Callithrix jacchus: one gene and its partner. The protein of the gene in region 1 interacts with the protein of each later gene in a pairwise test. Links are inferred from orthologs where the notes say so. Each region holds a gene or a part of one and is shown on either strand. Other genes may lie near its edges. The genes, in order: FGFR1 and GRB14.

Region 1 (4,280 bases):
AATAAAAAAGAGAAAAGAAGGGGGAAAAAAAGGAAAAATAATGTGAGGACCCATTTCTTAAATTAACAGGGGTGGGGTGGGGAGGAGCAGTGGGTGGGATGGGGGAGGAGTTGCGTGGGGGATCTCATTCAGTATTCAAACTCTTACAAATTTGGGGGTTGAGGTGGGTGATGGTGAGGGAACAGGCCCTGCCACTAACTTACATAGTGACATTTATTTGTGTAATATTTTTGGCACACTGATGCCTATTATTGTATTTGATTCTTATGACCATCTTGTGAAGGAGTAGCAACAGATACCCCTGTTTTGATTTTATCAGATGCATGACTTGTCCTGCATCAAACTTCATAAATGGACAGAATGGAGGAATCCTTCAGCCCTAGAGCTTCCTGCTTCCCACCCTAACAGTGGCCTCAGCCTGGGCTCACATCATAGGCCCCACGGAGCCTTGGAAAAAACATAGATTCTTGGCTCCTTCCTGGGACAGCGCGATTCCTCATGTCTGAGCAGGCCCATGAATTTGTATTTTTCAAGAGTTCTTTACAGGACCCGTGTCCATTTGGATTAGGGAACCACTAGATTATACCATTCCACGGAAGACTCAGGGGGAAGCATTTTAGCCACTTTCCCAGGTTCCATAGTATTGGAGGGTGTTCTGAGTGGGCTGTGATTAATTTCCAAACCAACCACACCTCTCCCCTCAACTCCCACTGCTTACTCTTTGCTTCCTAGACGTTCACTGCAGGCTGGAGACTTCCGGAGGCCAACAACATCGCTGAAGAATTTACAGAGTCCAGTTCCCGGTGGACCACAAAACCTAAATTATGTGGCTGGGGAAAGCTGAGATCCAAAGGAAGGGTTTGAGGAGGGGCTGACCTTCTCAAGAATAAAATCAGCTTGTATTTATTAAGTGTTAACTATGCGCCAGGCCCTCGTTGACGCCTCAACTCTATACGAAAAGCACTATTATTCCCCTTTTACAGATGGCAAAACCGAGATTAGAGCGCGAAAATCATTTCCCCAAGGCGCACAGACTCCAAAGGCCACGCTACCAGGTACAACCTCAGGGCTGCAGCGTCTCTTCACCTGGCCCCCCACGCGGCTGCTGTGTCTAGGGCCTGAAATCCCGGCGCCCTCTGGGACGTGCTCAGATGCAGCGGCGCGAGCGCCAGAGGAGACCAGGCTGCGGGAAGGGAAGGGCCGAGCGGAGGACAGCTTGGCCCGCTCCCCCTCCTCGGGGGCCGCGGCTCGGGAACTACAAGGCCCAGCAGGCAGCGGCAGAGGGCGGAGGCGGAGGAGGGACCAGCGCTGGTGGGAGTGAGAGGGCGAGCCCTCGCGCCTCGCCGGCGCACAGCGCTCGGAGCGCTCCTGCGGCCACAGGCTCGGCGGCCTCGGCGGCGGGCGGCAGGCAGCGGGAGCCGGGACGCCGGTGCAGCCGCAGGGCGCGGAGGAACCCGGGCAGTGCCAGGAGCTAGGCGGCCACGTCCGGACCGGACCGGACCGAGAGTCCGCGTAGCGCATTGCGGCGACCTCGCCTTCCCCGGCCGCGAGCGCGCCGCTGCTGGAAAAGCCGCGGAGCCCGAGGACTTTTCTCTGCTCCGAGCTCGGGGCGCCCCGCAGGACGCACGGTACCCGTGCTGCAGTCAGGCACGCCGCGGCGCCAGAGCCTCCGCGGGGCGATGGATCCTGGTCTGCAAGGAGCGTGAGGCGCCTCCGCTGCGTTCCGGAGAAGGGGGGCGCAGGGTCTGGAGACCCGGGCAGCGGACGGGAGCCCTCCCCCCGCCCCGCCTCCGGGGCACCAGCTCCGGCTCCATTGTTCCCGCTCGGGCTGGAGGCGCCGAGTACCGAGCGCTGCCGGGAGTCGAGCGCCGGCCGCGGGGCTTTCGCGACCCCGCCAGCACCCGAACAGAGCCCGGGGGCGGCGGGCCGGCGCCGGGGACGCGGGCACACGCCCTCTCGCACAAGCCACGGCAGACTCTCCCGAGGCCGAACCTCCACGCCGAGCGAGGTAAGAGCCGCGGCGCCCCCGATCCGGGGCGGACTAGCGTCCCGAGCAGCCCCAGGCGCCGGAGCCTTCCGGCTGCGCGCTTCGCCCGCCGCAGCCCAGCCGGGGCCGGCGCCTCCCTCCGCTCGCCGCCCGCCCCCTCCACCTCCCGGCTCCCTCCCCGGCAATCCGCGCCCCCCTTGGGTCTCCCCTCCCTTCCCTCCGCCCGCGTCGCCTTCTGCGCCCCCTCCCTGCGCTCGTCCCGCCGGTCTTCCCGCCGCCCAACTTTTCCGCCAACTCGCGCTCGGGAGCTGACGAGGCGGCGGCGGCGGCTACTCGGTGAGTCCCGGGAGGGACAGGGCTGGAGTGGGCGGCGAGGGGGGCGGTGTGTGTGTGTGTGTGTGTGTGTGTGTGTGTGTTGCATTCCGCTCCATCTCTTCTTAGTCCCCTTTTGGGGATTCACCCCAATTCAGCAGGTAGCTTTGGGCTCAACGCTAAAAATCCGTGACATTCCTAAGTCCTTTTCCACCCCCGGGAAAGTCTGGGGTCCGGGTGGGGGGCGAGTGGGCGGGGGGATGAAATGCGGAGGACGTGGAGAGCTAGGTTAGCTTCTCTTGGAATACGTTTTAAGGAGGTGTCGTCACCAAATGGCTGAATCTGCTTGAGCTGAAAGCGAAAAACGACTCCCCTTTCCAGAAGGGGTGATCTACTTGGACGGTCTCAGAAAGGGTCGGAAGTTTGGGGAACGGGAGGACGACCCGCGGTCGTTAAGCCGAGGTATGGGGCGGGGGCAGGGGCTGGGGCTGGGGCCGGGGCTGTTCCGTCCCAATCTGGTTCTTGGAGGTGGAGGAAGGGATGTGGGTTTTGTCCGGTGCGGTTCACTCGGCTGCGATGCGTGTGCTTGTCTAGCCCAGACCCCTCTGCGCTCCGCGTCCCCTCCCGTTATGTTTGGTGTTGGTAGAAAGGGAGGCTACGACCCACGTCGGCAGAGAAATTTGTGGACGTTGTAGATGGGGTTCATATAGAACACCCCCTGTGAGGCAGCCAGACACTTTGTGTGGTGGTGGTGGGGGAGGGAGGGTGAAGCCTGTTTCTTGTTCTGGGCCCAGAAGCTATCAGCCCGTTTGAAGAACATTTCCACGGTGCGGTTCTCCCCTAGCCCTCCCCCATCCCCATTTTCCAGATGTGGCGGCCGCATCTGGTTCCGTTTCACCCCACACGGGTACACCGCAGCCGCATTATTAACTTACCTCTTCCTCCCCTCCCCCTCCCCCAAATTAAAACTCGGATTCTTCAACTCGCCTTGACCACCTCTCTCCTCATCATTTCTGGAGACTTGGAGATGCGGCATTGAGATTCAGGGGAGAAAAGAAAGTTCCCTTGAATCCCGAGTTATTTAAGTTCCCACCAAGTTATTCGCCGCCGCTGGTGGGTGACGGCGGTCGGGGTGCTTTCTGGATTGCGCAGAAAAGAGGCATCTTGGGAGATGGGGCCAAGGTTTTAGGGGATAGCACTTGCGAACGGTTCATCCGCTAGACTAGGGGGGCTCTTTGGCCGTGCGTCTGGCCAGAAGTGGCCTTGACGATGGAAGTTTCTGGAACCAAAGCATTGCTTTCTTTCCCTTGAGTTACAGTTGGAGTTGCAGGAGCGCCTGCCCCGCCCGGAGCCCGCGGTCCCCTCTCGGCCGCCCCGCGGTGGCGTCACGCGCCCCTTCTTCCCCTCCCGGAGCGAGCCCGGTGCGCAGGGCCGGGGGGCGTGGGCGGCTGTTGCCAGAGGTGCTCTCTGTGTTTTTAAGGATTGATTTGGGCCACATCCCCGGAAGCTAAGTGGGACATTTTACCGTTTAAATAACGGCCACAGGTTTGAAAGCGGGGGTTGGATTGTCAAGTTGTGTTTGGTCATAGTCTTTGAGGCAGGAAAGCACCTTGTGGTCCAAAGTTGCAGGAGGGTGGGGAGAGTCGGGAGAGTCGGTCTCTCACCCGCTTCTTTCCAGTCTCTTTCAAATTGAAAACACTTCTCTGGTTTCCTTCTTTGGGCGGTAGTTTTGGAGGCTGTAATGAAATCGCACTTTCTCTAGACGTGGTAATTAAGGTGACTGTTTCCTCCGCAGATGTGCCCTGCCCTTTGCACCTCCGGACCAGCGCTTTTTTTGGAATACCACCTAAATGGGAAAACCTTAGCCTTGAGACTGTTGAGCAGAAAGTGGCCATTTTCCTCCCTTGGCTCGGGCTCCCGGTTTCCTCCCTGAGGCTTCTTTAAAAGCGAAGTAGCAGGGCCCTGTGGGACCCACGTTGGC
Region 2 (4,601 bases), on another chromosome or scaffold:
TCTGACTGAAGGCAGGGATCTCGGGGTGATGCTGGCTCACCTCCTGCTCTGTGGCCTAGTTCCACACAGTCCATGGACTGGTATGGTGTGGTCCAGGGTCCAGGGGTTGGGGACTCCTGCTATAAAGGATCCCAGAGATCACACCCACTGTGACCCAGGTACACTTCTGGGCCTTAAATTTTCACTAGAAAAATGAAGAATTTGGATTCCCTGAACTTTGACTCAAAGATCTGTCTTCACGAGTGCCCAGGTCTCCTGGCAGGCTGGGAGTTAGTGACCCCTGGGTTGTCTAGTGGTCGGTGCCTCGGTGGGAGAGGATGCACTGAGATGGGGGAGGGGAGCTGCTGCTTTCTTCTGGAGGCAATATTTACCTTTCCCTGGGCAGAGGTTGTTGAAATTAAGAAAACCTGGTGAAGCAGATGCCAGGGACAGATATTACCTAACTTGGTCAAAGAACAAAGACCCTGTGAAACATTTGGAAATCCTCAAGAGTGCCCAGGGACGGGCACACTTATTGGAACAGCAGAAACAGGATCACTCAGCATTTCAGAGTAGGGCTGCTGCATGTCACAGCGTGAGCATAATAATGCCATTACCATTTCAAACAGTCTGGGTTTTTGAGAACGCAACTTCTGGGTTGGAATATTGATTACGCCAGCTACTAGTGCTACGCTTTTGTTATTGTTGTTACTGTTTTGTTTTCTTTCTTTGGAGACAGAGTCTCACTCTGTTGCCCAGGTTGGAGTGCAATGGTGTGATCTCGGCTCACTGTGACCTCTGCCTCCCAGGTTCAAGCGATTCTCCTGCCTCAGCCTCCACAGTAGCTGGGATTATAGGCACCAGCCACCCCACCCGGCTATTTTTTGTAGTTTTAGTAGAGCCGGGGTTTCGCCATGTTGGCCAGCCTGGTCTCGAACTCCTGACCCCAGCTGATCTGCCTGCCTTGGCCTCCCAAAGTGCTGGGATTACAGGCGATGGCTTTGAGCCCCAGTTTTCATTTGTGTAAATTGAAGTAAACATCTAATTTACGGAGCTGTTGAGAGGTTGGAATAGGTAGCGTAAGGCACCATGGAATTCATTAGTGTAAGCTTCTCTCATTACAATAAAACTAATAGTCTTTCTAATTTCAGACACCTTCAGGTTTACTCATGCTTTACTGGGAATTCTCAACATCTCGGTAGTTTCTATAATGATTGGACTCCTTGCTCCCCCATCCCTCCCCTGCAGCCCCCCAGTCTTTGGCTGCGGAGTGGATGGAAGAAGCAGCACGTTGGGGGAGGACTGGGGCAAACCCAGCCCCCTGGTACCCTGGCCTCCTGGCCTCCTGGCCTCCTGGCCCGGTGGGGACTGTCATGGCGGCCCAGCAACAGCTTAGGTGATCTCAGATCGCTGAGCGGAAGAATGCAAGGGTGGGACGGTCAGGGCTGCGCAGACCCCTGTCCCGCCAGCGGTCCCCCCTCCCACCCGCAAGCCCAGCGGGAGCACCCCCTCGGCTGCGTCCCCGCCTCCGGCGCCGCCGGGGCGGCCCAGACCCTGGGCTCAGCCTCGCGTCCCGAGGCCCACCTGGGGAGGCGGCGGCGGTCCCTGCCTAGCGTCCCGGAGCGGACGGCCGGGGAGCGACGCCAGCGGCCCCGAGCGCCCAGGGCCACGCGCGGGGCTGGCCCGCCGCTCGCGCGCCCTCCCCACCCCCTCCGCGCCTCGCCCCGCCGCCCGCGGCCCCCACCCACCGGCCGCTCCTCCCCTCTCCCCACCCTCCTCGTCCGCCCCCTCCCCTCCCCCGCCGCCGCCTCGCAGACTGCTCGGCCGCTTGTCTCAGCCGCCCGGGCCCCGAGCGCAGGCTGCGAGGCCACCGCACCTGCAGAGCGCTCGGGCTGCCTAGCCTGCACCTCGCCTCCCGCCGCGCGATCCAGTTCTCCCCACGCGTCGGGTCTCCCATGACGCCCGAGCCCCCCTGCCGGCGACAATGACCACTTCCCTGCAAGATGGGCAGAGCGCCGCGGGCAGGGCGGCTGCCCGGGATTCGCCGCTCGCTGCCCAGGTGTGTGGCGCTGCCCAGGGGAGGGGCGACGCCCACGACCTGGCTCCGGCCCCCTGGCTGCACGCGCGAACGCTCCTGCCCCCTCCGGACGGGACCCGCGGCTGTGCTGCAGACAGGTAGGCAGCCCTGGAGGGCGCGGGGAAGTGTCCTGGCTGGGCAGCCGGCGAGGGGGTAAGGAGGCGGTCCTAGGGGGTGAGCCATGTGCCCAGAGCTGGGCCAAGTTTGTAAAAGTCTCTGAAGACAATCCTCTTTGAGCTGGCTCCTACCGGACCAGCAGGACATTGCGATCTCACAGTGCCTTATAAATAGCATCACCGTTTCATTGAGAGCTCTCATCTCTTTCGCCTCTTCCCATCGGTGTGAAACTAGGAGGCCAGGCTGCAGGTTGATCACCTTCTGCTCCTTTGTGGCCCTGCATTTTCACAAAGGAAACTCTATTTTATTTTATATGTTTAAAAAAATCGTAGCATAAATGTATTCACCTCCCACACAGAGTCTTACAGCGACCCTGTAGAAGCAATGCATGGATTGACATTTGAGCAGTCTTGCTGTTCAACAGGAAAGAATAGAGGTTTTAAAAGGTTTCCCAATCCATAGCATTCACCACTAAGTGCCTTTAGAGTTGCACATACTTTTGGGGGGGGGGGGGAAGGATACAAAAATTCACAAATCTGCAGTCCTTTATATTCATACATTTAAACGTTACATTTTTTTCCCTGATTTTCAAAGCACTCCAACTTCAGTGAAGTTAAAATTACTTTCTAGTGGACTAGAGTGGTTTATACTATCAAGTTCTATTAACTTACGTCCTCAAAACACTGCCTCACTGTTTAATATCTATAAGCAATTGAAATGTCAACAGACTGTGTGTGGGCAACATTGTGAATGAAATTTGAAGTGAGATGAACCACAGCTATAATTAATAAATGATAACTTCCAAAAGTGATTAGTAAAATATCATAAGGACGAATGCACTAAATGTAACTTAGAGACTTTGTCAATATAGTGGAAGCCTAACAATGTCTGACTCCTCAGGGTGATGTTTGCATTAGTAATGGTATAGTCAGTTTATCAAACGGGATAGAGTTTCCATGCCTGGTGATTTAAAGGCAAAAGAGAGAGAAAAGGAGAGAGAGAGAGAAATATAAGAGATTTTTTTCATCTCTAATTAACATACTGTATTTTGACCCATAGAGAGTACATCACAGACCTTTTCTGTATACTTTATATAATACGAGCTTTGTCACAGAGTGGTACATGTTGGCCTTAGCACACTTTTAAATCCTGACAGCAATTATATTTTACATTCTGTTTTATGTAAATTACATCCTATGTTCTCTTACTTCAGGAGAAAAAAGAAAGATCTTGATGTTCTGGAAATGCCATCTATTCCAAACCCTTTTCCTGAGCTATGCTGTTCTCCATTTACATCTGTGTTGTCAGCAGACCTGTTTTCCAAAGAAAATGCAAGGAAAAAACAGGTATGCACTTTTAAATTTTAAAATTCAAAAATCTTAGGAGTTCTGAATCCATCCAGTCTTTAAGATTTTCCACAATTTACAGTATCAACAAAAAATTAGAATGGGCTCTGTTAAACAACTCTGTTGACTGACATAGTCCTTTGGCATTATTTTCATTTTGGGCCTTATTTTTTTAAGGTGTATAATGGGAATGTTAAAACCTACCTCCAAGGGTCCTGGGATGGATTAAAAGAGATTATGTATATATATATATATATATATATATATATAAATTACAGTGGTTGGGAGCAATTGTTGTTCACCAGATAGGTAGGAGATGAGATCATTTTTAAGCCAGGAATTGGGCAGAGGTTGGAGCTGGGCAGGCAGTGGTAATGATGTGAGAAACAGACTGACTGCTTCCTTTAATACTTTCTTTAATTTTTCACATTTTTAACCAAAGCCAACCTCATTTACTAAAGGAAAGTGATTTAGTGATACTATGGCAAAAAGTACTTGGAGTTTAGGGTCAATGTGTCTTCATTTCAGTGGATTTCTCACTTTGGAGGCTCTGGCTACAGAAGACAGACTACTTGTAATTGATAATTAGAAGACTGTATTTTTATGATTTTCTTCTTTTAAGTTTCTAGTTTGGGACTGACTTAAGCAAATTAGATTTTAAGGACCAAGCAACTAACAGAAAATACATCATGGCTATACATTTTGAGGGGAAAAATATTCAGTGTCTCGTAGAATAATTTATCTCTTATCATATACGTTCTCCCAGTTTTGACCAAAACAAAGAGAAGTCTCACTAGATGAAATGCAACTTGTTCTTACAAGGGTGGAAACAATAAATTTAAATAGCTAGATACTTGCAGTGAGAGAAGGATAATGAACAGAGAGGACAAGGCAGTTGGCCATTTTACCACATCTATTATTCTCTTTCTTCTTTCTGCACCTTTATTACCTCTGATGGGTTCGACTACGTGTGTTTATACTTTTAGGAATGGAGGAAATACCTTAGAAAGCAGGTGAATTCTTGATCATATACAGCAATAATAGAAACAGCAGGAAATATGTTTGATAGAAGCCCTGTGTAT

Evidence for each region.
Region 2: the proteins of FGFR1 (region 1) and GRB14 interact in a two-hybrid assay, tested with the Homo sapiens proteins (2 studies listed by BioGRID, with this or other methods). The link is inferred for Callithrix jacchus from reciprocal best matches to the Homo sapiens genes FGFR1 and GRB14.

What each region holds. Positions count from the first base shown.
Region 1 is NC_133514.1:39,299,135-39,303,414, reverse strand, and holds the start of FGFR1 (fibroblast growth factor receptor 1), read left to right. Parts: upstream 1-1,348; 5' UTR 1,349-2,008; exon of another isoform or gene 2,009-2,323; intron 2,324-2,600; exon of another isoform or gene 2,601-2,761; intron 2,762-4,280. UniProt on the Homo sapiens protein: Tyrosine-protein kinase that acts as a cell-surface receptor for fibroblast growth factors and plays an essential role in the regulation of embryonic development, cell proliferation, differentiation and migration.
Region 2 is NC_133507.1:65,009,300-65,013,900, forward strand, and holds the start of GRB14 (growth factor receptor-bound protein 14), read left to right. Parts: upstream 1-1,792; 5' UTR 1,793-1,963; coding exon 1,964-2,154; intron 2,155-3,386; coding exon 3,387-3,519; intron 3,520-4,601. UniProt on the Homo sapiens protein: Adapter protein which modulates coupling of cell surface receptor kinases with specific signaling pathways. Binds to, and suppresses signals from, the activated insulin receptor (INSR). Potent inhibitor of insulin-stimulated MAPK3 phosphorylation.